4 separate regions of the Mus musculus genome follow, and regions 2, 3 and 4 are each reported to be linked to region 1. Evidence: microRNA targets listed by miRTarBase, many of them from high-throughput screens and not tested one by one. Region 1 holds a microRNA gene; each other region holds the end of a gene's coding sequence.
What was found. The annotated mature microRNA mmu-miR-15a-5p reads UAGCAGCACAUAAUGGUUUGUG and lies in region 1 at 4,931-4,952, shown strand. An mRNA with a match to its seed (bases 2 to 7 or 8) in the 3' UTR can be bound and repressed. Matches are read on the target gene's strand: a 7mer-m8 pairs with bases 2 to 8, a 7mer-A1 pairs with bases 2 to 7 and ends in A, and an 8mer does both.

Region 2: miRTarBase lists Olfm3 as a target of mmu-miR-15a-5p. Seed matches in the 3' UTR shown: 8mer at 3,466-3,473.
Region 3: miRTarBase lists Zfp704 as a target of mmu-miR-15a-5p. Seed matches in the 3' UTR shown: 7mer-m8 at 1,450-1,456 and 7mer-A1 at 3,295-3,301.
Region 4: miRTarBase lists Avl9 as a target of mmu-miR-15a-5p. Seed matches in the 3' UTR shown: 7mer-m8 at 6,113-6,119 and 7mer-m8 at 2,094-2,100.

Annotation. Positions count from the first base shown.
Region 1 is chr14:61,629,901-61,637,026 of GRCm38, reverse strand. Mir15a (microRNA 15a) reads left to right here and starts at 4,917; the gene lies at 4,917-5,000. Dleu2 (deleted in lymphocytic leukemia, 2) reads left to right here. Exons shown (of 7, transcript NR_028264.1): 3 at 1,436-1,502; 4 at 4,544-4,590. Mir16-1 (microRNA 16-1) reads left to right here and starts at 5,055; the gene lies at 5,055-5,147.
Region 2 is chr3:115,121,449-115,128,574 of GRCm38, forward strand. Olfm3 (olfactomedin 3) reads left to right here. Exons shown (of 6, transcript NM_153157.3): 6 at 732-4,316. The coding sequence ends at 1,409. Among named protein-coding and RNA genes, the nearest start is that of Olfm3, 44 kb to the left of the region's middle.
Region 3 is chr3:9,432,337-9,439,462 of GRCm38, reverse strand. Zfp704 (zinc finger protein 704) reads left to right here. Exons shown (of 9, transcript NM_133218.2): 9 at 565-7,126. The coding sequence ends at 676. It overlaps C030034L19Rik (RIKEN cDNA C030034L19 gene), which reads right to left. Exons shown (of 4, transcript NR_160691.1): 4 at 2,230-4,754. Among named protein-coding and RNA genes, the nearest start is that of C030034L19Rik, 33 kb to the right of the region's middle.
Region 4 is chr6:56,756,439-56,763,564 of GRCm38, reverse strand. Avl9 (AVL9 cell migration associated) reads right to left here. Exons shown (of 16, transcript NM_030235.1): 16 at 1,654-6,293. The coding sequence ends at 6,178. Among named protein-coding and RNA genes, the nearest start is that of Gm10209, 34 kb to the left of the region's middle.

The DNA of each region.
Region 1 (7,126 bases):
CCTCTATGGGCACTAGGCATGCAAGAAATACACAGACACATACGCAGGCAAAGCACACAAAAACACAAAAGAGATGTGAAGACTAAAAGGAAAATAAAAATAAAACTCAACACTTTAAAAAATGTTAATTTTTAACTAGAAGTAGCTTTTTTTTTTAAAATGTATTTTCAGATGTTGGGAAAATTTGTCCTTTGTGGAGCACTTGGTGACTTTGTAGTGCAGTTGAAGTTACAGTAGACTCTTTATATGTTGTGACATAGTCTCATAAACTACATAGCCATTAAAACAAGAGTTGTATAAATTCTGAATAACTATTCAGCAAATAGAAAACAACCTTTCAAGAAAGTGTATATGTGTAACAGTTATATTTGTACTTATAGTATAAAAACATATAGGACATAAATATCATATCAAGGTTTTAGTTACATTGTAAGAGCCCAATGAGATCAAATCAGAGCTTGGCACATAAGGATCTTTATGTGTAATTGGAAATTTTTTTTAACATTCAGTAGAGTTGGCTTTGGGATAGAGATTTATATAGGCATTATTGGGAAAGGGGATCAGTGTATTTTGAAATAAAAAGAAATGTTGATACTTTGTGAGAAAGTATTTTGCAATAAAATACACACTTGGAATACTCTGGTAAAGGTATAAAAAATTAGAGTATTCTTTCTATGCTATATCTTGTAATAAGTACTTGTATGTAGGTATGCTGGCACATTCCAGTAATCCTAGCACCTAGGAAGATAAATAAGGCAAGAGTACCCCACATTTCAGTGCCAGTCTGGGCTATTAGCAAAGCTGCCTCAAAAGTGCAAGTGCAGTGTCTAATCACATCCCTCAGAAACAAAACACTAACTGACTGAAGTCTCTGGGGTAGTTCAAGGTTGTTTTACAGGATGGGCTGTGAAACATTTCTGCCAGGGTGCAAGGCTCTAAACCCTTTCTCTTACAAGTAAAAGTCAGCCATGGAAACAATTGCAGCAGTGCTAGTTTCACTTATTTTTGGCCTCAGACACCTCTTAGCAATATTTTCTTCTGGTATGTTCTAGATGTTTTATTTCCATATTTTTTGACCCCCTTCAGAGTTATTTATCCTCATGGATAAAAATATGTATGAATGTGTGTGTGTGTGTGTGTGTGTGTGTGTAATACTTTTTTTTTAATGTTAATTTCTAACTAGAAGTAGCTTTTTTTTTTTTTAATGTATTTTCAGATGTTGGGAAATGTTGTCCTTTGTGGAGCACTTGGTAACTTTGTAGTGCAGTTGAAGTTACAGTAGACTCCCCCCTTTATATGTTGTGACATAGTCTCATAAACTAAATATAATTTTTTTAATGTATAGGAATCAGAAAGCAGTGATTGCTGACATCAATTGAAAATGTTGCTTATGTAATAAGATCAAATTTTAAAGTCTTTACTCTTTTTTTTCTAGGTTTAACAATGTTAAAATGAAGATATTACTAAAATGGCCCTCTAAATAGCCCAACAATTATTATTTTGTAAGTATTAGTTTCTAGCTCCTTCCTTCCTCAGTGACCCATCACCACTGCAATGAAGACTTGTGTTTGGTATCATATTTCCATATATCTGATAATTTTTCTATTTATTCTTGAATAACTTAAATTGCCCATTAACACTCTATTCATGTTTGATATTAATTTAGAACAAGAATGATTTCATTGCCTCAGGAAACTTTACTAGTGTGGAAAGTATTTTATAGAAAGTCCCTGCTATCTCCGAGTCTGAAGTCAAAATATTAAATCCTTTCTTTAAAGTTTACAAATAAGCAAAGATTTTTTTTAAGGCTTATACATTTCTTTATTTAATTTGTGAGTTTAACTGCATGTATATATGTGTAAGTGTGTATGGACCTGATATGCAGGAGAGATGGAGACCAAGGTCATCAGTAACAATTGAGTGAAATTCAGGACAGCCCTGCTTATATGATCCCTTGTATGGTCAGGGGGCAGTTGGGGGACGGTAAAATTTAAACAGTTATACCAGGTTCTGAATTTTGGTGGGGTGTATATTCATTTTCTTTGTCTGAGACAGCTTATCTGCCTAGCCTTGAATCTGTATAGTAATCCTTCTACCTCCATCTCTAGAGTGCCAAAATTATAGGCATGTTCCACTCACAACACTTAGCCACCCACCTGGTTTGGGTAGGAATTTAAATTTGCAAATATAACAATCTGATACAATGTGATTTTTTTTTTCACTTTTAAGCATAAATGCACTGGGATAATATCCTCAGAACATTTAGTGTGAATTATTGTTGTCATCTTCTGTTCTGAAATTTGAGCTTTTTAAAGTATGAGTGTTCTGCCTTCGTGTATGTCTGCAGTGCGTGCTGGAGGAAGTGCTTAGGCTCCATGTGGGTGCTGGGAACTGAACCTGGGTCTTTTACAGCAACAAAATGCTCTTAACCACTGAGTAACTCTGCAGCCTTGCAACTTGAATTTCAAAAATTTCCATGTAAAAAATGAGCAAATTGAAATACATATTCAGTTGTCAGTGATCACCATACCTGACTTGGCCTAAACAATCAGTTTAGTTTTCCTTTCATAGCCATTAAATAAAATTTGGGTATGTTGTTGTTGTTGTTGTTGTTGTTGTTGTTGTTGTTGTTGTTGTTAGAACAATTTCTTTTTCAAATATGTTACATAAGCTCATTTTCCTAGAAAAAAATCACATGGAAATGGAATTTTTAACTATTTAGTAGTATGCCCTACAAATGATTCTGTCACTTTTCACATATCAAATTTTAGAACTAGGAATTTAAAATGTTTAGAGAAGAAACAGTTCCAAAGATTTTATAGTGGCATTATTGCCACATCAAAGATATTAACATACCCAGCTTTTAACTTCCCAAATTTGTTGCAGTATTTCATGCCTTTAGCTTTGCTATTTAAGTAGATTTTTTGTGCCCTGAGAATTGTTGCTCTGTCATCAGAACTTAAACCTGGTAGTGTTTTCTCCATGTTCTTAGACAACTTCATAAGATGGCTATGGTTCAGAAGCGTCCTACAAAGGCTTATATGTATGTTAATGGTTCATTTGCAGATAGGGAACCAGAAAGGGTCAGTGTACTAGAATAACAGCCATGGGAGACACTCAAAGGACAGTGTCAGGGTTCGGACCTCAGATTCTGTATTCTGTCATTGTGCTCCAACAAATTACTGGTTGCTTATTATTAAATTCAAAAAGTATCCCATTATTCTGATGCAGTCAAGATGATGATATAGCTTGGGCAACATGCCTATAAATGTTTGTGAAGTGCTAAGCTTTATGGAAACAAGATGAATTAATATTAGAAGTTTTATAAGGTAAAAAGTAAATGTTTCTAAAGAAAAATATTAATGGAAACAAATAGAGTTGAAGGGGGAAATAGGACAATTTGGTTTGATCTATCTTCTTAAATTGTTGTAAAATTCTGTTTTCTTATACGAATAATATTAATTTCAGGTATTTAAAGATTGCCATGTATTCCTATGTACACTCAAGTTACCTTCTTAAGCAAAACATTTTGTTTTCTTTTCAGAATGGCTTTTTTTTCCTTTTAAGAACATTAGTAAAAAGTTGAACTATGTAAAAACCCAACAAAGAAAAATTATTTTGGTCCTTAGGCCAGAATATAAACCACTGAATTTGGAACGGGGCATGATGGTGCACGCCTTTAATCCTAGCATGCAGGAGGGAAACCAGGCAGATAGATCTCTGAGTTCCAGTCCAGCCTGGTCTATAGAATGAATTGCAGGACAGCAGCCACTGTCCTCAAAACCTCTCTCAAAAAACCACTGAATTTGAAATTATAATCATTGTATAAAGATAAAGGACAAAATCACTTTTAGCAGCTTTTATCTTTATTTTCAGACTTTTTTTTTTTAAGCTGGCACACTTGAAAGCAAAGGTTTGAAGATTTAAAGACGTTTTGATATTTCAAATGACCCAACATGAACGGGAATGGAGAAATGGCATTGACCCACTAGAAAACATTTGCTACACAGTAATCTAGTTTGAATGGAAAATCTGGTATGAACTGGAATAATAAGAACAGTTCTTTGTGAAGGGATGGCTAAGTCCCCCACTAAACAGAAAAGAGTCTTCTTAATAGTGTAAGAAAACCTAGATATTCACACACACATAAAATGAAGTTGGAACTTAACGTAGTAAAAATTTTGTTTCAGCTAAGTCAAAGTCCTGTGGTATAAAATGATACTCCTTTAAAGGACTAGCCTTTTTAACTGGGAAACACACAAATGGTTACTTAGGCTTGAGCTACAGGATTTCTGATATATCCTTTTAGGAAACCAAATAGACCTGTTATCCTAAGATGATGTTCTGGGTAATAATAAATGACACTGAACTCACAATAACTATTCCAATATTGAGATAAATCTTGTGTTCATGTGTAGATTGGGGGTTATATATTTTTGGGGAATATGTTTCATGTGTATGTCTTCTAAATATTTTGCTAGTATAAATTTCTTGAAACTGAGCTCTTACATGTTTGTTCTTACATGTTTCCTTTAACATGAAGCTTTGTCCTATGGATTTGGCTTTGAAAGATGTGCTGCTCTTAATAAGGTAAAAACCAACTTTTGTAGCTATTTCATGTGTTAAGCACATTCAAAAGTTGTTAGTTTAATAAATGAGGTTCTTAAGTTGGTATGGGAAAATGACTTGCTTTTCTCGTTTCATGACTACAATAAATTACAGCACTGTATTAAGTTTTCTGTACGCTTTTATTAAACTTATGATATGGAAATACTTTTTATTCTGCTGAAAGCCTATAAAATTATGCACATACCAGTGTTAGATTTTTTTCAAACATAGATTTTATGTGTTCTACTTTTTCCTAAAAAGCCTTTTCTGTAAATTACTATTGAGGTGCTAGGAGTTTTCAAAACCAACCCTTGGAGTAAAGTAGCAGCACATAATGGTTTGTGGATGTTGAAAAGGTGCAGGCCATACTGTGCTGCCTCAAAATACAAGGACCTGATCTTCTGAAGAGAGTACCTGTCTTTTTATTCATAGCTCCTATGATAGCAATGTCAGCGGTGCCTTAGCAGCACGTAAATATTGGCGTTAAGATTCTGAAATTACCTCCAGTATTGACTGTGCTGCTGAAGTAAGGTTGGCAATACTCTACAACTGTAATTCAATGTGTATTGATGTTACTTGTGTGTTTACACGGTTTTTCTAATTGCATTAGTGATTTTATGTTTGGTATGATTCTGTAATGATGTTAGTAACAACGCTCTACATATTGTGTCTGTTAAAATACTATATAATTGTGGGATGGTAATGCAGCTCAGTTGGCCAAGTGCTTCTTGCTAGCATGCACAAGGCCATGGGTTTTAGCCTTACCACTGCATACCAGGTACACTTGTAATCCTAGATCTGAGGAAGTGGAAAAAAGAGAATTAGAGGCTTAACATCATCCTTGGCCATAAAGCAAGTCTAAGACCTATGTAAGGATCTGTCTTTTAAAAACAAACAAAACATAATGACTTCTGTGTGAGGAACTGATTATAGGACTTCTAGATACCCAGATTTGTAAATGCTTGGATCTCCTGTATAAAATGTCTGCTCGTGACCAGTGCATATCCTCCCTTATACTTATTTAAACTTATCTCTACATTGTTTTTAATGTGTAGTGCAGTGGGATGTTAACATGGATAGTTGTATTATTCAAGTTATTCTCTTAATGATGAGAAAAAAACTGTACAATTCAGTACTAATGCAGTTTTTGTCCAAGAAATAAGTTTTTTGGTTTGGTCTTTTGAGCCTGGGTCTCACCATGTAGACCAGGCTGCCATGAAACTCACTGAGATCCTCTTGCCTCCGCCTCCCAAATTCTTTGTTTAAAACTGTAGGCCCCAATGCCTGGCCACCCAAATGTTTTGAATGTGTGGTTGGTTGGATCCACAGATGGAGCACTGACTAATAATATAACAAGTATTTTTAAGTCTTGAACACCTTTCCAGAGTTTCTTGAGAGCTACAGTGGTACAGAATATACCCAGTACCACCAAGGCTCGAGCTCTCTTTCCAGCATTTCCATATAAAAGTTTATTTGAAAGAGTTTAGGAAGTACCAAATTGTACATGAATTTAAACTCATATTATTACTTATAATAGAAAAATACTTTTCTCTTGATTTGAAGTTTTCTTTAGATACAGATAAAGTTTGAAATGCTACAGATTATAACATAATCTTGAGTATAATGTGCCTAAATATTTCATTTTAAATGAAGGAGAATAACACTAAAATGTGTACGTTGAATTTTTAAACTTAAATTTAGAAGAATCCTTAGAATAGCTGACCTTTTTATTGGTTAACTGAGGAAACAATCTGAAATTTAATTTGCAACCTATGACATATTAGGGTATAAATCCTATATCTTCTAACTTAATAATTACTGTTTTTCTTATTTTTCACTAAAATGTTTAACAGGAGATTTTTATAAGTCAAAAGTATGAAAGACATCTCATCTGTGCCTTAATATTTAACTTCAGATTAAAGCTAACAGTCATTAATTTTATAAATATATTCAGAATATTTTAATTATTTCAAAGGAAATGTTCTTTTTTTTTTTTTTTTTTTTTAAAGATTTATTTATTGATTATATGTAAGTACACTGTAGCTGTCTTCAGACATTCTAGAAGAGGGAGTCAGATCTCGTTACGGATGGTTGTGAGCCACCATGTGGTTGCTGGGAATTGAACTCCGGACCTTCGGAAGAGCAGTCGGGTGCTCTTACCCACTGAGCCATCTCACCAGCCCGGAAATGTTCTTTTAACTATCCCATGTGCTTTATTTTAAATGTTTTACGTCATTATTTTAAAATGTTCAAGAAAACACATTATCTCACAATAATGTCCTCTAACTCTGTCATTACTTTTTACAAGGAGTCTCTTACCTTTTCAGATTAAAGGTTCATAATTAATTCTACCGTGTGTTGTGGAGATCCTAAAAGTATTTCAGTTATTTTTTAAGGAATTGTCCTCAAAAGAACCACTACTCAATTCTAATTTAAAGGTAAAATTAAGTAAGTTTTAACAAGTTGATTTAATTAACTATAGACTCCGTTTTTGGAGCATTTTTTCTGTGTATGAGTA
Region 2 (7,126 bases), not on the chromosome of region 1:
ATAGGAACCGATATATTTATACTTACTAATGAATTCATTATGAATTAAAATTCTTTATAGTCCTATTAAGATTTGCTATTAAATTAATACATTGGTTTTTACTAAAGCCTACAACATAATTAAGTGAGTAACTGTTAGTTGAAGGTTGTGGCAACTAGAACGTAAACATAAGTTGGGCATGTAAAATAAAATAGACATTTTTGTAAGGCAAGGTTCAGGACAAAGATAATACCTTACAGTTATTATTGATCATATGGCTACATCAGAAGATGTTCTTTGAAATATATGCTGGGTATACTCAGCAATAGGTGTGAACTAGACAGAAAATAAAACAAAACAAATTAATTTGAAGGTAGTAAATTCAGTGATTTCTTTTCCAAACAAATGTCACTTTCTAAGAGATATATTTGTGCATGTTTGTATATTCACAAACAGATGGAGGTCAGAGGACTCTGTGATTCTTGATTTCAATCATTCAGTTTCTAAAGATGCAACTCGTCTTGTCATTCTTGGCAGATAGCATCCTTACATATTGGGCCATTTGCCTCCTTACAAATACCCTTACAAAGGCCCATATGCTATGATATTTCAATGGCTAACCAGTAAGAACATTTGACATCCAATACTTGAAACTTTGACTGTAACTGTCTTTGTTTTGAATTTTTTATACATGTCCAGGACTTAATCATTCCATTTGTTTCTCTTTCTCTCTTCTTCTTCTTTATTTTCAGGTCTGGTATATGGACAGTTATACCAACAATAAAATAGTTCGTGAATACAAGTCCATTGCAGACTTTGTGAGTGGAGCTGAATCAAGGACATACAACCTCCCTTTCAAGTGGGCAGGAACTAACCATGTTGTCTACAATGGCTCTCTCTATTTTAACAAATATCAGAGTAATATCATCATCAAGTACAGCTTTGACTTAGGGAGAGTGCTAGCCCAAAGAAGCCTGGAGTACGCTGGTTTTCACAATGTGTACCCCTATACATGGGGTGGATTCTCTGACATTGACCTAATGGCTGATGAAATTGGTCTGTGGGCTGTATATGCAACTAACCAGAATGCAGGCAATATTGTCATCAGCCAGCTTAATCAAGATACCTTGGAGGTGATGAAAAGCTGGAGCACTGGCTATCCCAAGAGAAGTGCAGGGGAATCCTTCATGATCTGTGGGACTCTGTACGTCACCAATTCCCACTTAACAGGAGCCAAAGTGTATTATTCCTATTCCACAAAAACTTCCACATATGAGTACACGGACATCCCCTTCCATAACCAATACTTTCACATATCTATGCTTGACTACAATGCAAGAGATAGAGCTCTTTATGCCTGGAACAATGGCCACCAGGTCCTGTTCAATGTTACCCTGTTCCACATCATTAAGACTGAAGATGACACATAGGCAAATGTCATGTTTTCATCTCTCTACTCTGTCATTTATGATAAACTTTATAGGACCCTGTGTTTATCTTTTTTTCTCCTTGATTGGCTTGTCATCATTTCTCCAAAGCAAAGGATTTTATTGTATATTTGGAGTTTCAAAAAGTGTTTGTCTAAGTTAGTGTGTTGGAAATACATCTTAAATCCCAAATTTACAGGGCCTATCATGCCCTTCTCATGAAAAGCACTAAAAAGAGTTTAAGTGGCCAGAATCATAGTTTTGCAAAAGATTAATGATCTGCCTTGTATTAGAATCAGATTAACGGTGGCTTAAATGCATGAATGTCTTCTCTTTTTAACTGTCATTATTTTTACTGTCTCTTGGTCTACATCAAGAAATATTTTCATAGAAATTAAGGTAAAAGAAAAGCACTTTCCCCCCATTTATTTCTACAAGAAGATTTAAAGATTTTATTTATATGGGAAACACTATCAATCATGTTACTCTTACCATATTCTCTGATGCGGTGCTGTGCAGTCATTTCTAAATCTCTTGCTCACATTTTCCTGGCAATACATATTTCTACCAGTGTAACCACCATCATATATTGTATTCCTTCACTTCTGTGAAAGTCATATTTTTTATAAAGTGCACTAAAATTTAATCTCAGTAATTACTCAAGTCAGTTCTCAAGTCTGGTTGAGAAAGATCATCTTGGCTTGCCCCTTCTCATAAGCACTACAAAAATTTTTTAAAAAAGTATTAGATAATATATATACAACCTTTGTTTTATCCAGCACTCTACCATTGGCTCTGGATTTGAACACCAATTCAATGTAGTGATACCCTGTTTCTTAAAAGAATTCATATAATTCTTTGTAAAATGTGTCACTGTGTTATACTCAATATGATTCTATTCACTTATCATTATTAGTATTAGTAGCATACATATATATTAATATTTTAACATATCTTACATACAACTTTCAAAAATGTCATTTCTTATACAATATGAAGCACATGAAGATTATTAAAAAGAGGAAATTTATTCAATGCTTTCTATATTAAAATTATAAACCCTGGAGAGTTATTGGAAAGCTTGTATAAAAGAAAACTATGAAAAGAATTGGGAGTTATTTTTGTTTCAAGTGTATAAATAACCAATTCAGAAAATTAAATGAGAATTCAATCCCCTGAGAACTTGTCTCACTGTGTGCGCAAAATTAAAGAAACTGAAAGTAAAAACTTTGATAACATTTGTGTTACTAATTCCACAGAAATTATAATCAACAACTTATGAACATGTCAATGAGGTTAGAAGTAATTTCCCTATGTTAAAAAGAATTCCACTAAGGCACCTTTATGGAAACTAAATTTTTAAAAATATATTCTAAAATGAATGACATAACTTAAATTGCAATTTTTGTCTCATATGCATACAAAATACCACAATTTTAAAATAAGCAGATGATAATGCAGACACAGCACTCTATAAAAAGACACTGATATTTAGAGTATTTCATTTTAAGTTCTACAAGTGAAGGGTCATTCTCAACTACCATCCTATCAAACTGGAGAATCTAGTTACTATAATCTTGAAATTCAAGAATGAATGAGCAGGTATTTTGTTTTTTGGGTTTTGTTGTTGTTGATCTTATTTTGTTTTGTTTTGTTTTTTTGTCAACAAAAGTTAAGCATGATCTAATGGGAACACTGCATCTTTTTATAATGATGTTTTCTTCTCTTACCAAAAGTTCATGTAAGCTCTAGGCTACAAGTGAGAGTTAGAAAATTTAGAAGATTCATTTGTCATACTACACATATCACAAAAGCAAGCAGTTCATACTTCGTATAACAATTTGTATAAGGTTAAAAAATCATGTCAGTTTTAGAAATGAATCAATCTTTAGGTAGGCAAACTCTAATAGGAACACTTCTTGTTTTTAAGACATGCTATGTGGTATCACATACATTCAAAATATGGATGATCATGGCTTTTTTGTGAGGTGTGCGCCTTGTACAGAGCCCTGTTGTTTTATATGTATGGTTTCATTGCCCTATCTATTTATAGTGTATGTGCTGCTAGAGAAGCTAAGATTTTATTGTCACTAGAAGTGGGGTAACATGAGCTTTAAAAATATGACTTGCATTAAACACTAACAGTTTATGAGCATTTTCCTTAATAAATTATGTTCAGTTTTGTGCCTGAAATAAATAAGAATTTAATCACTGTTTCCTTTTTAATTTCCAGCAAATAAAGTAATTTTATGAGGAAAATAATGAGTATCTTAAAATCATCCATAGAATCTAAGGAGTGCAGAAGTCTATTCTCAGAAAACCACCATCCTAAGTAAACTATGTAACTGGTATTTTCTAGATTAATCAGATCATTAAAATACTTCCATGTCATTCAAATAGTATGCTTGCGGTTGGGTTGTGTTGGTGTGTAATTCATTTTTGTGGAACTTAAGTCACAAGACTTATTACTTGTATCTAAACTTAAATCTACAGGTTCAGAAAATGGCAATCTTCCAGTGCATTAACATTTTGTAGAAATAAAAGAGAAAGAAAGAACAAACACTGTGTATGCACAGAGAGTGAGTGATTAGTCATGCATTATCATAAATCTAGACGCCCAGATTGCTACCTTCATTGCAGTTTCATTTCTTTATAATTGACAGCACTCTCAGTGATGAAAACTTCAGAAATATATTAACTTCTTATTGATGTTTATTACAATTAGAAAAACACAGCCATCTCTTCATGTTTGAAAGTCACTGCCAAATTTCTGAGTAGAACTTTTACAATCAGAGTGATTGCTACTGAAATATAACCATATAACATTAAAAATGTATTACCATGAAAATAAAGTTTTATTATAAAAAGTAATATTTTTATTATAAAAATACTCCTTTGTAAATGAATTTTACATATACTAGTTCTGAAGTTTGAATTTTCTAAAAGAAAACTTTTGATTTTAAGACATCACTAACTCTTAGTTCTCAGATCACCAACTTTTTGTTTTGTAAATTTTATATAAGAATACATTTGGGAGAAAAATAAAAAATATATCTTCAAGTTAAAGCAACTATGAAAAATATAGCCATTGCAGTTTTAAAAGGCCAAGTCTTACAGAAATAAGATACTTTAAAAAGAAGAATCAAAAATGTCATGTTGCTAAAGAAGTATAATCATATCCTTTATCACACCTACAAATTGAGTTTCTATGACATTATCAAACAACACTAAGTGTTAATGTCAACTTCTCCATCATCTCAAACATAGACCATAAGAAATGCTATATAGCAGCTGACCCAGGTTGTTAAATTAGGGAAGGCTGAAAGAAGCTGAGAAGGGCAATTCTGTAGGAGAACCAGCAGTCTTAATTAATTTGGACCCCCACAGTCTTTCAAACATTGGCCCACCAAACAGACAGCATACACAAGCTGATATGAGGTCCCTAACACACACACAGTAGAGGACTTCCAGGTCTGTGGTCATTCAGTGATGAAGCATGTAACCCATAAGAGACTGGAGGCCCCAGGGAGTTTAGAAGTAAGGTGGGGTGGGTGGTGGGGGCATCCAATTGGAGATGAGGTGGGGTAGGGAGAAGGTATGGTTGTGGAGAAGTTGGAGGGTGGATGGGTAGGGGTGGGGAAGGGAATATGGAGTGTAAAAAATGAATTACAAATAAAATTAAGTTAAAAAAATGCAATATAGTAAATTATTTTAGGTAGGACCACAAATGGGGCACATGAATTAAGTACAGATACTATGAAACTCAATTTTTGATCTCTTATAGCTATAAATGGTAACATAAGAAACACAGATTCAGCCAAGTGAATTGACACATACCTTTAATCTTAGTACTCAGGAGGCAGAGACAGGAAGATCTCTGATTTGAGCCTTCCCTGGTCTACGTCTACATAGTGAATTCTAGGACAGCCAGAACGATATAGTGTGACCCTGTCTCAGCATAGGAAGGAAGGAAGGAAGGAAGGAAGGAAGGAAGGAAGGAAGGAAGGAAGGAAGGAAGATAGAAAGAAAGAGAGGGGCAGGGGGAGAGGGAGGGGGAGGGAGGGAGGGAGGGAGGGGGAAGGAAGGAAGAGAAAAATAAAAACCACTTATTTTTAATTCAATAAACTGTATCTTTACTGAAATCATGATCATGTTATGTTTTTGTTTTATTGAATTCTACTTAATTTACCACAAAATAGTGAGCCAATATATTCTCATTAACATGGTCTACAGAGAATATTTGGGATTGAATAAACTATGACCTTTTCAATGGTTTAAAATATACTTGAAAATATAAATGTTTAGCGACTAGAGATGGATCAACAGTTAAAAGCACTTACTGCTTTTCCAAAGAACCTAGTTCTATGTATAAAGTTTCACAACTCACAAAACCTAGAGCTAGCTTCAAACAATCTAGCATCTTTGGCATCCATGGGAACCTGAACTCAAATGCACATAAACACACATTTATAGACACATGATTATTTTAAAGTCAGATTCTAGAAAAAAAAAGTCATTATAACCTTTATATTATTTTTCTAGAGAACTGTAATTTTTTTATATTCCTTTTTTTATTTATTTACACTCCAAATTTTATTCCCCTCCTGGTTCACCCTCCTACTGATCCACAATCACTACCACCTCCCTGTGCCCCTGGCTCCAGAAGTATTTTCCCACCCCCCACCCCACCAGAACTCTAAACTCCCTAGGTCTGCAGTTTCTTGAGGGTTAGGTGCATCTTCTCTGATTAAACTCAGACTCAGCAGTCCCCTGCTGTATATGTGTTGGGGGCCTCATATCAGCTGCTGTATGTTGTCTTGTGGGTGGTCCAGTGTCTGAGAGATCTCAGGGGTCCAGGTTAATTGAGACTGCTGGTCCTCCTACAGGGTTGCCCTCCTCCTCAGCTTCTTCCAGCTTTCCCTAATTCAACCATGGGGATTAGCAGCTTCTGTCCATTGGTTGGGTACAAATTTCTGCATCTGACTCTTTCAGATGCTTCTTGGGTCTTTTGAAGGACAGCCAAGATAGGTCCCTTTTAGTGAGCGCTCCATATCCTCAGTAATCTTGTCAGGCCTTGGGGCCTCCCCTTGAGCTGGATCCTACTTTGGGCCTGTTTCTAGACCTTCTTTCCTCAGGTTCTCCATTTCCATTCCTGCACTTCTTTCAGACAGAAACAATTATGAGTTTTGACTTGTGGGATGGGAACCCCATCCTTTAATGGATACCCTGTCTTTCTGCTGGAGGTGGGCTTTTCAAGTTCCCTCTACCCACTGTAGGGCATGTCATCTAAGGTCCCTCCCTTTGAGTCCTGAGAGTCTCTCACCTCCCATGTCTCTGTACATTCTGGAGGGTCCCCTAAACATCCTACTTTTCAAAGTTGACTGTTTTCATTCTTTCTGCTGGCCCTCAGGACTTCAATCCTTTCCCCTCACACAACACCAGATCATGTTTCCCTCTCCCCCGCCACACACACCTGTCCCCCTTCTCTCCCAGTTCCTTCCCTTCCCCCTTGTGATTTCTTTCTTCTCCCTCCCAAGTGGGACTGAGGCATCCTGACTTGGGTCTTTCAGTATGGTGTCCCATTTGAGTTCTGTAGACTATATCTTATGTTATCTTATATCTGTTTTGTTGTTGTTGTTTTACTTTGTTTTTGTCTAATATCCACTTATTAATGAGTACATATCATGCATGTCCTTTTGGGTCTGAGTTACCTCACTCAG
Region 3 (7,126 bases), not on the chromosome of region 1:
ACTGTTGTTCTCTGATGTTATGTGTTTTGTGTATATTTGTTGTTGTTTGTGTGTTTGCTTGTTTTGTAGTAGGCAGGGTACTAGGGGGTGGAGACAGAAGATGCATATGGTGCATATGTGGGGTTTGTCTTGGTGGGGTGTCTCACTCACCCACTGCAGTCAAGCTGGTCCAAGAGCTTGCAGGGATCTCTGTCAGCATCTCTCACCTTGCTCTATAAACACTGGGATTACAGGCAATTGCATGCACGCGCTATCACATCAAGCTCCATATAGGTTCCAAATGTCCTCCTCGTGCTTGGTGAGCAGGGCTGCCCCAGGTCCCCCTCCACAGTCCCCACCTCTTGTGTCTACCCCTTACGCTTACACCATGGCCAAGGAAACATTTCCATGAATGGGATTTAGAAACAGTGTAATCACAGTGGCCAGAGAAGTCCCCAGCCCTACGGGAAGTCCTACTCCATGCTGGGCTTTTTGTCTTCTGTTCCCCCTTATTCTTTGCAACTCTCCCCAGAAGGCCGCCCCGTTCCTGTCCCTAAGGCTGTCTGTGTGCCGTCTTTCTTACAGGAAGCCCAGAGGAGAAGGCAAAAAGTGCCGCAAGGTTTATGGGATGGAAAACAGGGACATGTGGTGCACCGCCTGCCGCTGGAAGAAGGCCTGCCAGCGGTTCATTGACTGAGCCATTCCTGCCTCTCCTTCCAAAGGAAGCTACTCAAGGCCCAGGGAAGGCCCTGCCTGGAATCCCAGGAATATAATTCCTTGGTGGAATTAAAGCAAAACAAAAACAAAAACAAAAACAAAAACACAGCAAAAAATCAGCACTGCACTGCTCTGAGAACCAGGCGAGAGCGCCAAGGAGGACCTTCCTTCGAAGGAAAAGCCCGCTTCCTTAGCTCTCAGTCTGGTCTTAAAGCTGGTCTTCTGTAGCAGCTTAGCCAACCAGGCCCATTTCACCTAGAGAGAAGGCACATTTTGATAAGCTTTCTGAACTCTGGCATTTTCGAGGGTTTTTGACACTGAAAACAATATGCCCATAAGCTACACAATATACCCATAAGCTACACAGTCTGAGGTAGCATTTGTATAAAGGATAGTACCTACCTTGTGAATAGGCATCTCTCTGTTTTTCCGTGCGACTCCTTGGATCAGTCTGATCATGATGTATTTCAAAAAAGAGTTTTTCTATGTCTGTTTTGTTTTCAAGAAGGACCCCAAGTGGAACCATTGTAAAGATGTTAGCTTGGAGGCCCTGAGTAACTTACATAAGGCCAAAAGTGATTGACAGTGAGTGCGAGTCACCTCAGCCATCACCTGAGGTCAGGACACCAAGAGGCACTGCAGAAAGCATCTGAAAATCGTCCTTGGATCCCATGTGAGTGGTGGCACCACTAAGTCTCTGCCTGCCATGGCTCAGACGAGAGCTGGCGCTAGTAGCAATCTGGTAAACCTTGATGCTGCTTTCAGGGATATCACACACACTGCAGCCTGGATAGTGTGTCCTGCTTGGTTCTGCCAAGACCATAGCCAGGACTCTGGGTTAGCATTCTGCTCTCCAACCCCGCCCAGGTAGAAAACTCCAGACTGGCCTGCAGGTTTGCTTCCAGCAGAGCATAGCTGTGGGAAAGATCCACTAGGGCATCAAGCCAACTTCCATTGTGAGTGCACTTTTCTAGATGGCGAGGGGATGGCTAGGGGATGAGTTAGTGGACTCGGTGACGTATATGGATAATGGAACGCTAAACTTTGTTGTCTTATAGGAATATTGAAACTATGAATTAAGAATTTGCTCAGAAACTAACTTACAGGATGCCCAAAGGCAGATGCATCTTGGTATAGGACTCTCTCCATTGAGTAGGGCCAAGGCTTAGGCTGGGTTCCAGCCATTGGAACCTGATGTACTTGGCTGTTGGAAGGGTGGAGCTTGGAGCAGCTATCAAGCCTTGTAAGGACTTATTCTGTCTGCCCTGCTTAAGAGAGGAGTGTCCTGTACCTATGCATGGTAAGAGCACCTTATAGGAGCCACTAGGTAGGGATGGGGAACATGGTGTCAGCAATATGAATGTTAAATGAACTTGCACAGAGGAAAACTTAATATATGTTTAAAGATTGTACATAGTGCTTTTTTACAGAGTAGAGAAGGCATGTAGGCGTCTGAGACACCTCTTTGTATATAAGGGGTGTATATGGAGGCTCTACAGCGGAACACCCTTAACTGGTGCGTTCATGTATTTTGGCAATTTTATTTTTTAAATTCATGTGGCTTTTTTACCACGGAAATCAAGGAAAACGGGAAAGAGATGCTGATCTTTTCCTTTGGATACTTAAAAGGAAAACAAAACACTTACTTCAAGAGAAAAGAGAAAGCTTTCTCTGATTTCCCTGTAGGTTGATAACCAACATCAGCTATACCACCTGTTCCAGATGCTTTTACCTGCAACCAGGAAACAACTTTTTGCTTTTAAAGTCCAGAGCTAGATTTCTTTCCCCTGGGCATGTCCTCTCCTTATCTCCTGTAGCCTCACTCCCTGAAATGGTGTTCTAGCTGCTCCAAGAGGCCCTGAGCAACGTGGAGATTGAGACATCAACTGTTTGGTCAAGTTCACCATGTGCTTAAATAACAGATGGATCCTAGGCTAGAGGGTTTTCTCCTCAGCAAAGCTCCCTTAATTTTTAAAATCTCAGATGAAGACTTTAATCAAAACATTAAAGTGATGTGAAATTCAATCCACCTTCTCTTGAAGAACTTGGAGGTGAAGGAATGCTGTCGTCTGTGTGAGAGAGAGCAGTCCTTAGGTGCTGAGCTGTCGCCCCCAGAAACACAGCCTAAGGGCAGGTCTGAGCCCGCTTAGCTGCATATTGTCAGCACAATCGTGACACCAAATGCACCTGACCTGAGTCCCTCGTTTTCTCAGAAACCTCCATCGTGCCAGCTCGTGTGCATCCCCAGCCCACCTAGGGCCCTCATCTCCAGGCCAGCCTTAGGCACTGAACATTTCCTTATCTGGCTTCCAAGGTGCAGGCAAATCCTGAGTGCAGCTCTGGACACATGCCCATTCCCTGTGTGGAAGGGTGTAATGCCAGGGACCGGAAGCTCTGAATTGCAACATACAGTTAACTGATTATATGAGTTACTTTTTGTGTGAGTTACATTTCTTAAGTAGTTATTTTGTTATTTGGGGACCCAAACAAAGTGCCAAATGAAGCCTGACTTTTCATTTCATGCCATGTCCATGAAACTAAGTTCTTTTTGTGTCTTCATTTTGTGGAGAAACAGAAAGCATGAGAGTTGGTGAGCTGGCTGCTAGCCTGAGGCTCTGTGCACCCCAGGGCTTCCAGCCCTGTCTGTCAAAGGAGCAGTGATGTAATGAATTCTTGTCCATGGAAATGTCTAGTTCTTCTTCTTCCATGATGAAAAAGGTTTCTCATTTCTCCCGGAAAAAGCATGTCACAGTGACTAGCAGGACATTCTCCAGCCAGCTAGGAAGCAATGTGTGCAACAGGCAATAGTTTCCAGCCTTAGCCTTCCTGGAATATGGACACTTATTTTGTGAAAATCTGTGAGATAACGTGGAGAAACCCCCAGGTAGCATATGTGTCAAGGGGGCAGTGCGGGAGACCTGCACACCCCTATCTTCTGCTCATGTTCTTGGGCTGCTCAGCTAGGACTCCTCCATGTCTGCTGTAGATGTCTGACACAAGACAGGAGCTGCTTCGGCCAGGAACTATCCATCAGGCTCACCTGCCACCTTATGTCTGGGAAGTTAGGTTCTCTGGATTAGCAAAAGCTAGCGCCAGGAAGAAGACAGTGGGTTTCCAAACCAGAGTGGACCTCTCGTGCACGTTGATAGTACCATGTCCAGGAGGCTCCCTTATGAACCTCCCATGACCAAGCTATAAAGGACGATCATCTCTAGAGAAAAGCATTACTGTTGAGCTCTCCAAAAATTCCTTCAGACTTCATGTATGTTGGAAAAATTATTTGAAGCCAAATTGTTCCCCATTGCAATTGAAGATGACAAGATTTGGAGTCTGCCATCTCTGGTATCCAAGAACAAGTACGTCACACTTTGCCAGAAGCCCTGGGCTTAAAGTGAGTAGTGAGCCCCTATAAAAGAGTCTGTTTCATCTCTCACTTCAGCTGCCCTGCAAGACAAAGGTGGCATTCACCGGAGAAGGTTCTGAGAAAAGAGGTGAGAACTGTACATACAAGAATCTGTTGAGCATAGCAGCAGAATACTGTAAATACTACTCATTTCCTCAGGGAGACAAGGATGCTGTGGGAAGAGATCTGGAGAACCCCGAGACCAGGAGGATTTTTATCTCCTCAAGTCTTTTCTTGTCAGAACAAGTTTTTCTTTATGTAACTCTCCGTGTCATTTCAAAACAAATCCGTGTTCAGCTGGACAGGCAGACGACTTCCATGAGGTGTGGCAGAGGGACTGTCTGTTCGTAGCTGCCCTAAAGCTGATTGAGGTTTGAGCCACAGGTGAAGAGCCTGCTGGGCATCCATAGACATGGTGAGGCTTCCTCTGAATGTAATTGGGAACAAAAAGCCTTGCTGTTCCTTGTTGTAGTTCCTCAGTCTGGATGCTGTTTATTATACACAGCATCCTCTAAGGGAGGGAAAGCTGGCCACGACGTGTGGTTTGCTTTAGTGGCATGTTCAGGAGCACACTGCCATGGACTCTGGTGGACAAGGTGCTGTCTTTGCTCTTGTCCGTAGGATTTCCACCACCCACATCAGCTGTGGCATTGACCTGTGTGAATATGTGCGGATGAGTGGAGCCAGCATGGCCCGTCAGTATGACAGCGTTGGGAGCGTGGGTCATTTTGAAGGGCATGTTAGGCATATGAGTCAACTGACAATTCTATTTCTGTAAGAAAGAAACCTACCAGCAGCACACAGGTGCCACCAATCCTCCCACGTGGAGGGATTTCTCCATGTTACGATTTCATCCTGTATTTTCTGCATTGTAAGTAGCCACAGGGGAAGTTAGTAAATAAGATGAGGTTAGCACTTTTAGGTACCAGTTGTCCTGAGTAACTGTACTCCAACAGAGCAAGGACATATGAAATGTACTCAAGACTTGCTTCTGGTGACAGACTTGGAAAAGGCCCATTTCCAATGACACACATGCTTTAAAGAGTGTACCTATCACAGGACCAGGAATCAAAACGGGAATTTTATCTCCTGTCCTGTTTTGTAAGTAGCTTTTTTTTCCTAAGACAATCTCATGTTTTATAACTTGTTGTGTGTGTCTGAGAATCATAATGGTAATGTGTTATGGTAAATGTAATCTTAAATACAATAATAATTACAACTTAAATTTCCAAATGAAAGAAATACACTGCTTAGGCTTCTGCAAGAGACATGACACTTTTATAATAAGCATTAGTACTTCTCAAGTTTAACAGAACTGGAAATATTTTACAAGATACCGCGTTTTGTAATCACAGAGAACATGAACACTTTGTGGGAAATGACCTTGGTTTTATACATTGTAGCTTATTTTTTAAAATGCAGTATTTTAACCGGCAGGAAGTGTAGATATGGCACACAGTTCCTGTCCCTCAATCCAAGGGCTATGCCTCTTTTAAGCAAGTGTTTTGATGCGTATCTTTTCAATTAACCCTCTGAGCAAGGGTAGAAATGGAGACCAGATAGCAAGGTCATTTGCAAGAGAATCAATGAAGCAGCAACTATTCCCTCATGACCAGTGTGTATTCAAAGCATCTTTGTGGGGGCAGGGGGCATGTCACATGAAGATTCACCTTCTATATTTTAAACCCAAGAAAAGATGCTAGCACATAGGCTTCTAGGCCAAGGAAGAAATATCCCTTTAGTGTGGTATGAGTTTTCTTATGAGTTTTCACCTATCAGAACTACATGCCTGCATTTTATAAGCAAGCGTCATTTGGTGGCACTGTCTAAAACTGTAGTATATATGCCCAAAGAACCTTTAAACGGTCAGCAGTGTTTGTGATTTTGTTGTTCTTACCACCGCCAACTGAGAAACTTCCTCATCAGGACCGTTTGACTTTTGTTTGTTTTTCACTATGGAAAACTCACAGGCACAGAAGGTTGTGAGCAGAAAAATGACAGAATTCCCATGGGACGTAAGAAATGGGAGCCACATACACAGTGTGAGCACTGCCAAGGCTATTTTAAGCTGTCCCACATCAACAAGCCCACTCGCTGTTAAGAAAACATCTTCCCAAGAGTTTATTGACTCAAAAAGCTAGGCCAGTTAGCCACGTATGCGACAGTTTCAGAGTAGAAGCTGAGGTGGGGCAGCTGTGTACCTGCCAGGTAACTGTACCAGTTACTGAGAGGCCATTCTAGCTTTTCTAGCCGTATCTTCCATGTACGGCTGACAGTCTGTTAGACGGGAACTATAAAGGCATTGTATGAGGGAACAGGGGGTTGTGCAGCCTTGCACCCAGTGCCTGAGTGGGCTGGCTTGCAGCTAGCTCGCCATTGCCATCCCCTAGGATAGTACCACTGATGGATGGCATTCGGGTGCCCAGCAGGTTTTCACTGCCACATGGTTTTGAACTATGTGCGACTTACTCCACCTGTGCGTGGAGGCTTCCTTCCAGAGACTGTGTGCGCATTTAGACACTTTAGAACAGCTGGAAAAGGACTGCAGATGTTCAGGGCGTGTCAGGACCAACAACGGTGTTGGACTAGACAACTGACATCTACCGAACAGGAAGGACCCTCACTCAGCTTTTGACAATCAGGCCAGGTTGCCAGATCCAAACTGGAGACATGGCACCACCCGACAATTCAGTGTTGACCACTAACATACGTTCTCAGCCAATCCTGCAGACCAAGAAAAGCTGTGTGGGGGCAGAGGCATCCTGTGGCCACAGTATCAGCTATGGCAAACTTCCACACTTGTGAGCTAACAGGCCCAGATTCCTCCATGAGCATCTTAGACTCATGTGCTGCCACGATCTGAACAGCAGACATTTCAAAAGAGGGAAGACACTATTCCTCCCTAGAGGATATCCTCATGGAAGACAAAAATAGAAATGTCATCTCTTCAGCTTAGCATTGCTCCTGATCAGAATGCACTAAGTTGTCACCCGGCTCTTGCAAGAGCTGCCTCCTGCCATACCCAGG
Region 4 (7,126 bases), not on the chromosome of region 1:
GATGCCCTCTTGTGGACATGGCATTGTGAACACCCACCCCTCAATATGCACATGATTAAAAATAATTAAAAGAAAAAAATAACTACTTTTGAGGCATTGTGAAGAATGAATCACGGGAAATATTTGTAAAACCCAAAATGATAAACAGTATGCAGAACACATACACCCATGTGTGCTATAGTTGAATGATCATGTTTTGTTGTGGCAGTATCTCTGGCAGTTGTGTTAGCACTTCTCACTACCTTTCCAATGTTGTGGATTCTTGAATGAAAGACACACATTTTTAATATTTAATATTTTTAATATGCCCCTAAGCAGATCAAGTGTGGGCCATTCCCACACTTCGATGCTAACGTCTCCCCTCCAATACTCTTGAATTATTACTTACTAAAATCTAAATTCTATCTTTGTTACCCTAGACTCAAAAGGGAAGAGGAATGGGGATGCTCTTACATGTCTGTATGCTCTCACTTCTTCAGCTCTCAAGCCTGATCTTTCAGATTCCCCGTCATAGCAATTCTAAAACCTTCTTTCCATGGTTCCGTTGCCTGGGGTTATAGGACTATACACCTACACCTTTGTCTCCCTACTCAGCCATTGGCCACAGGCAACTTTATTTACCAATTAGAGCCAACTAGGGGCAGGGACCCTCAGCCTCTTTCAGGCAGATGTTAGGCTTCCCTGTGACTTTAGCATTAGCATTTTCCCCGTGACTTAGCATTAGAACCAATTTACAACAATTCACCATTTTTCATCTATTAAAAAGGCCTTTTCTCTCTCACATACATTGAACAGTTATAACAGTTATGTAAATTATAAGGTAAGATATACACTAACAACATCCAGTCCATCAATTTTTTCAATTTAGTACATTATTTTTTTAAGGCATAAAAGTCTTTTATTATTATTAATGCATTAAAGTTAAATATACTCAGAGTACTAAAAAGCCAGAACTCGTTTTGATGAAGTTTATTACAGACAATAATTATTTTGACACATGTGTGCGTCTGTGTGTGTGTGTGGTTGGAAAGTTTAAAAGAAATTCACAATCTGAATAATTTACTACAATATTATAACATCTATTCTATCTTAAGGAGTTTATAATTTTCTACCTGAATGGTTTTAATTTTAACTTGTATTGTCATCTGAAAAAATATCCTTTTAAATCTAGATCACCTTCCTTAGTGCTAAACAACTTAAAGGCCACACTCACACAACCCCAGGAAAGGGACATTTATCTTCTTATTCCATAAACAAGTTGTAATGGAGCCATGGTGCACAGCACACATACCTGGAATCCTCAGTGTATTATTTTGAACCTTACCAGTCCAAGTGGAGAAATGGATGGCGGGAGTGCAGTTTTCTCCTTCCCTGGCCCTGTCCATGAGTGATTACATGACCAATATCCTTAGTACTTGCGCAGCATTCCTCAGAGTTCCCCAGACGCTACATAAAGCTCTTTCCGAAGAGGTCATAGCTAGAAAGCGTATGGTGATAAGCAGTATCAGGAGGAAGCTAAACTGGATGTGTAGTCCTTCAGCTCACCCATGCGCTGCTTTCTTGACAAATGAAGAATGCACTGTTGCCCAGTTGTGAAGGCCAGAGATCACACAGACAACACGCAGTTAAGTCTAGGAGATCAATAGCCCGTGTGCAAGAGAAACAGGATAATTTTATTATTAGGTTTTCCTTAAAATAAATGTACAATAGAAGCTCTACAGTTCAGTATGACTAGACATGATTTATAACTTGAATATGTTTTTAAAAAACAAATGACAACAGAAATGAACCGGCACAAACTACAAAGCCACTGGAGGAAAGAGAAGCTATAGCTTGACTTCCTTAAAAACTGTTTTCCAATCATTAAGTACCTCCACCAAGTCATTAATCACATGCTTTCTAAATTTAGAAAGGAATGATCAAGTGGACTGAAACATGTAATGCACAATCTTGGTTTCCCAGCTATAAAATAACAGTATCTCAACAGAATAAAATACGCTTTAGGCAGTTCTCTGAAAACTTCAATGACCTTTTCTGGCTCAGTACCTGACTTGAAATGTTCAAATGTTTATATTGCACAAAAAAGAAACTTCAGCAGCATACTATGTGCATGGGAAGCTGATGAAAAATACGATTGGAAACCCCTTAAATTGCGTTCCATATACATGATTTAAATATATAGTTTTCTGCATCTTTAATTAGTATAAGTAAAAAGGTAAATTTCTGAACAGCACAGAAATACAAATGTATTTAGAGTTTTACAAAATATATCCAACCCCTTAGACATGCACAATCTTTTCATTTTGGAGTGTTATAGTATACGAGGCAGCCAGTTTCTTCTTCATAATGTAGGTAGGAAGTCATTTTTATGGAGTTTTTTGTACGAAAAAATAAAAACAAGATCCTTTTTTCTCTAAAAAAAAGTTTTGTGGAATGTTGGAAATTACGGAAAAAGAATTCCAAGCTAACGAAGTCAGAAGACTTGGATGAGAAAACCGGCACATTAGGTTATGAGGAATGATGGTCATCTTCAAGTGATTCAAGGAGCATTCTGTCATAGTTAAAGGCTACCAGAAGATGGTGTGGAAAGCCATGAATGCTGGGCCATTTCTCTTTAAAGAACCACAGTGTGCAAATGTTTCAGGGATCCTAAGCAATGCCCCAACACATGAACAGGCTGGTGCAGCTAGCACCACAGGCAGGAGGCAGCAGCTTCTGTCCTAACAGGCTGCCCTCTGTGGAGGCTGCAGCAGACACTGCCTGTGGGTATAAATCAGGATGCTGGCCGCAGGACTTCTAAATTTATCAACATGGAAGGAAGAGAGCCACTGGCTGTTAACTCCCTCAAAATTTTCTCTATAAAATATACAGCTTCAATAATACCTGCCTACCAGCTAAAGAATGTTATAGCTTCACTTAGAAATGTCAATAGCAGATTACAATTCTAACTTGTCTAAACTCATGCCTTTAGTAGGTTAAATACTGATGTCAAAATACTCTCCATTCAGACTTAAGTGCCCTGTTTCTCAGCCATGTAATAGCTTCTCATTTGTGTTTTCCTAATTTGCTTTCCTTGAATTTCTAAAGAAAGCTATTCTAAAAATCAGTTAACTGCTTAGTACAAAATGTGAAAAGCAGAAAGACTGAGGAAGTCCTGTCATGCACTCTACTTTGCTGCCCAAGAAAGCCAACTGTTTCTTACCGCAAAAGGAGAGAACTGTTTTCAGGCTTGAGAGCTAGTGAAGGACTTGGGGGTGGACAATTCATGTTGGTTATAAATCAGATATACATATACAATTGCTCTACATCCTGTTACACGCAGCTTCAGAATTTCTACTCTACTCCAGACTCACAGCTTGTATTCTCTTCCTTATCTGTGCCTTTGTCGTTACACTACGATCAAAACTACCTCAACAGCAGTGCAGCTACTGTCAATGTCTGCCTGCTGGAAACCTGAAAAATGCTGGTTGACTTTCGCTCCTGCAGGTCTAGTTACAAACACTCAGTTCTTAAGACACAAGAGCACTGGCAATCACTGGAGAAAGCATGGTTTCCAATAGCCACATCTCCTGGCAATAGTCAAAAGGCCAGGTGTTGACTAAAGGACTACCATGCCAGCACTGGAGGGAGACTACTCTTCCGAGTTAGTCTAGCTCACTGGAGCCTAAAATACAGACTTCACGTGTCTGGGCTCACTGGCTGTATCTCCTGTTCTCCATGACACAGGCTGCTGCATTAGGTGATGCCCCCAGCAACAAAATGGCCTATGGCCCTTGAAAAGCCAACATTTCCAAGAACCTGAAGGAAGTAGGAGTATAGTCTTTTGACCATTCCAAGATGTTTTATATTCCAAGGTAAGTTATTTTAGGCTGACCAGTTAAGTAACCATTTTAAGAGTTAAGTTTTTAACTACATTAAGAGAAGGTTCAATTAAAATATACACTTAAGCCTGGCACAGTAGTGTGCTCCTATAATCCCAGTTGAGACAAGAGGGAGGAAGTTGGCAATTTAGAGACCTGTGTGGCAAGACTGTGAGACCATACACAGGGGAACCATACACACTCAAATGGGGAGTGTGAAACAAAACCAGTTACATTTTGTCCCCAAGTATATTTCAAAGTCAGTGCTGCATTGCTTTTGTTTAAGTAATAGCAGGCAATTCGGCAAGTCATATAAACCTGGTACAAACTAAAGAATGAATCATTACCTTATTAGCTAACCCAGGCAGGGCTCCTAGCAATGTCAACTACCATGGATATATCAGCATGCTGCAGCCACATGAAATGGTATCTAACAAGGAATTCTTAATAGTCTCAGCACAACATTAATGTGCCTTTCACAGTTTTGTGTGGCTTTAGTTTCTTCTCTTTTCAAATATTTACTGGCCAAAGAAAATTAATGGTTTTCTCCCATTAACCAATTAATTTATTGTCACTGGATTCTCTCAACTTATTATGCCCAACTTAAAGTAGTTCATATTTTTGTGGTTTTGTGTGAAAATCCAACTTGCAAAATTTTAAAAATATTGAGTTATGCCCTATCTTCTTTTTATAGTCCTTAGGGAACCTCCTAGAGGATAAATGAAAGATAATCAATGCCTCTTACTTTCCCAATGCTTTTTTAATCATATGTAGATATAATGGTTATTCTACATGCCTTCTGTTACTGAAAAGGTAGACTGTTTCCTGTAAGTACTCCCTGAGAATGCCCATTCAGGATCCCCTGAAAGGCAAATGACAGCTATACATGACCAACATGAATTAAATGAGAGGCTGGCAAATTCATGCCTGTGGTAACATGAAGCCAACTGTACTGATTTACCAAACAACTGACTCCTGGCATGGGTGCGAATTCATTTTCTTGCTTCTTACTGTTCTTTCATTTGAGGTGTCTTTGTGTGTGTGAATATAAGAATTTGCACGACACATTGCCTACATGGAGGTCAGAGGACAATTTTCAAGAGTTGGTTCTTCCTTTCCACATTGTTTTGAGGAACTCTGACTCTGTTCCCGCCTCATTGTAGGGACACTGGGATTACAGATGTGGCTTTTTATGTGGGTTCCAGGGATCTGGACTCAGGTTGTCATGCTTGCACAGTAAACGCTTTTCCTCACTAAATCATCTCCTTGGCCAACTTCTTGCTTTTCTAAATGTGAACTAAGTCATGGTTTATATTTAACCTTCATTGGTCACTTTGTTTTTCTTTAGAAGGTAGCAGACCTGACTAAAGATTTCCAGTCAGGGAAGTAGGGAGGTCAAGTGCCTTTGAAAAGCTCAATGCAGAACAAGACTAAGAGAAGGCCTGTGGATCTATCCAGATCCAACAGACAACCATTCACAAGAAACAAGGCACATAATTTTGATAACAAAGTGCTGATTAAGACAGCAACATAACTGGAGTTGATCGAGCTAGCATGTGGGTTGTCAAAGTACTGCCCTCCAGACATGCGGCAGCCCTTCAGTGCGGCTCAGTCACCACTGCTGCTTCCTTGCACAGCACTGCCAATAGGAGAAGCACAGGGGCATCTTTGCTGCTTCACACCAACTGTGACAAGAAGACATTCATAAAAAATGACATCTTATCCTCAGCTTTCCGTTCTTACTTTCACAGCTCTGGGAAGAAGTGAGCTGGTAAGTATGTTTAAGTGGGTAGAAGGTTTCCTCCAACCCTCCCATAGAAGTCCACCCTAGAGAACTCAGACTGGAATGCATAGTCCCTACCCATTACAAATACATTTTAGGGCTAACTTCAGAGATAGTGAAATAGTAATATAACTTAATTTTAGTCAATATAAATTACAATGGCCATCTAAATATTTAAACAGCAAAATAGAACAAAATATACATATGTAAAAATTCTTCTAAGTAAACAAATGTACAGTCTCAGAACTTAAAATTCACTACAACGTTCATTGTGTACATTAATTAGGCTCAGAATGAAGTAAAAGTAGTCGATTTAACCCCCAACCTGGAAAGCTATTCCGCTACGGTTGTAATTTCATCCATTCAGCATACTGCAACTTTCATTTAGATAGAGTGCAACCGTCCATGTAAACAGTTTATCATCTTGGTCCCTGGGTATGGACCTTTGGATAGAAGAAGAAACCCTGGGAGCAGCAGACGGGGAGGGAGCATTACACCGCAGAAAACCAAGCAGCTTCTGCTGCTCTGCTGGACTCAGGGCTTCCCATTGGGTGGCTCAGGAAGACTCTGAGGGGTGGATGTGGTGAAAGTAGATAGCCATGAAGACATAGCTGTCTTTGCACTGGAAAAAGCTCCTCCAACTGATTGGCCTGTGTGAAAAAGAAAAACAAAAGGAAAAAATGTATGAAATTAATAAAAGGTTTAAGTTTTCTGCATGCTGGGAATAGAACGTAGGCAGGTCCTTTAATATTGAACCACATGTCCAGCCTGTACCTAATATTTCGTTACACAATGAAAACCCAACAAACATGAATAAAGTTAACTCACTGAAACACAGTAAAATAATGTAGTTACTAAGACACCACGTTCATTTTTAGTTCAAGCCGGGCGTGGTGGCGCACGCCTTTGATCCCAGCACTCGGGAGGCAGAGGCAGGCGGATTTTTGAGTTCGAGGCCAACCTGGTCTACAAAGTGAGTTCCAGGTCAGCCAGGGTTATACAGAGAAACCCTGTCTCAAATAACCAAAAAAAAAAAAAATTTTTTTTTAGTTCAAAAGACTATCTTTCCATTTACACGTCTTAAAGAAAACTGAGTAATGTTTCACCATAGGAGCCCACACTAGGTACTTTATGGGGGCTGATAACATAATTTTATAGCTACAGCACTAGCAACTCTGACTAACATCAGAATTATCTGGAGAGCTTAAATAGCTGAATATACAACTGGAGAGATGCCTCAGGAATTAGGATTGTTTACTGTTCTTTCAGGACCAAGTTCAGTTCCTAGCACCCATATCAAGAGACTCAAAACTGCCTTTAACTCTAGCTCCAGGGGACCCAATGCTTCTGGCCCAATGCACGGGTACCCACACATTCATGCAGACAGAACAAACACACATGTTCTCTGAACCTAATTACATTAGAAGAATAGTACTATACTAGAAGAGAGCCTTGTAGGTCTCATGTTGTTTTTAAATAATAG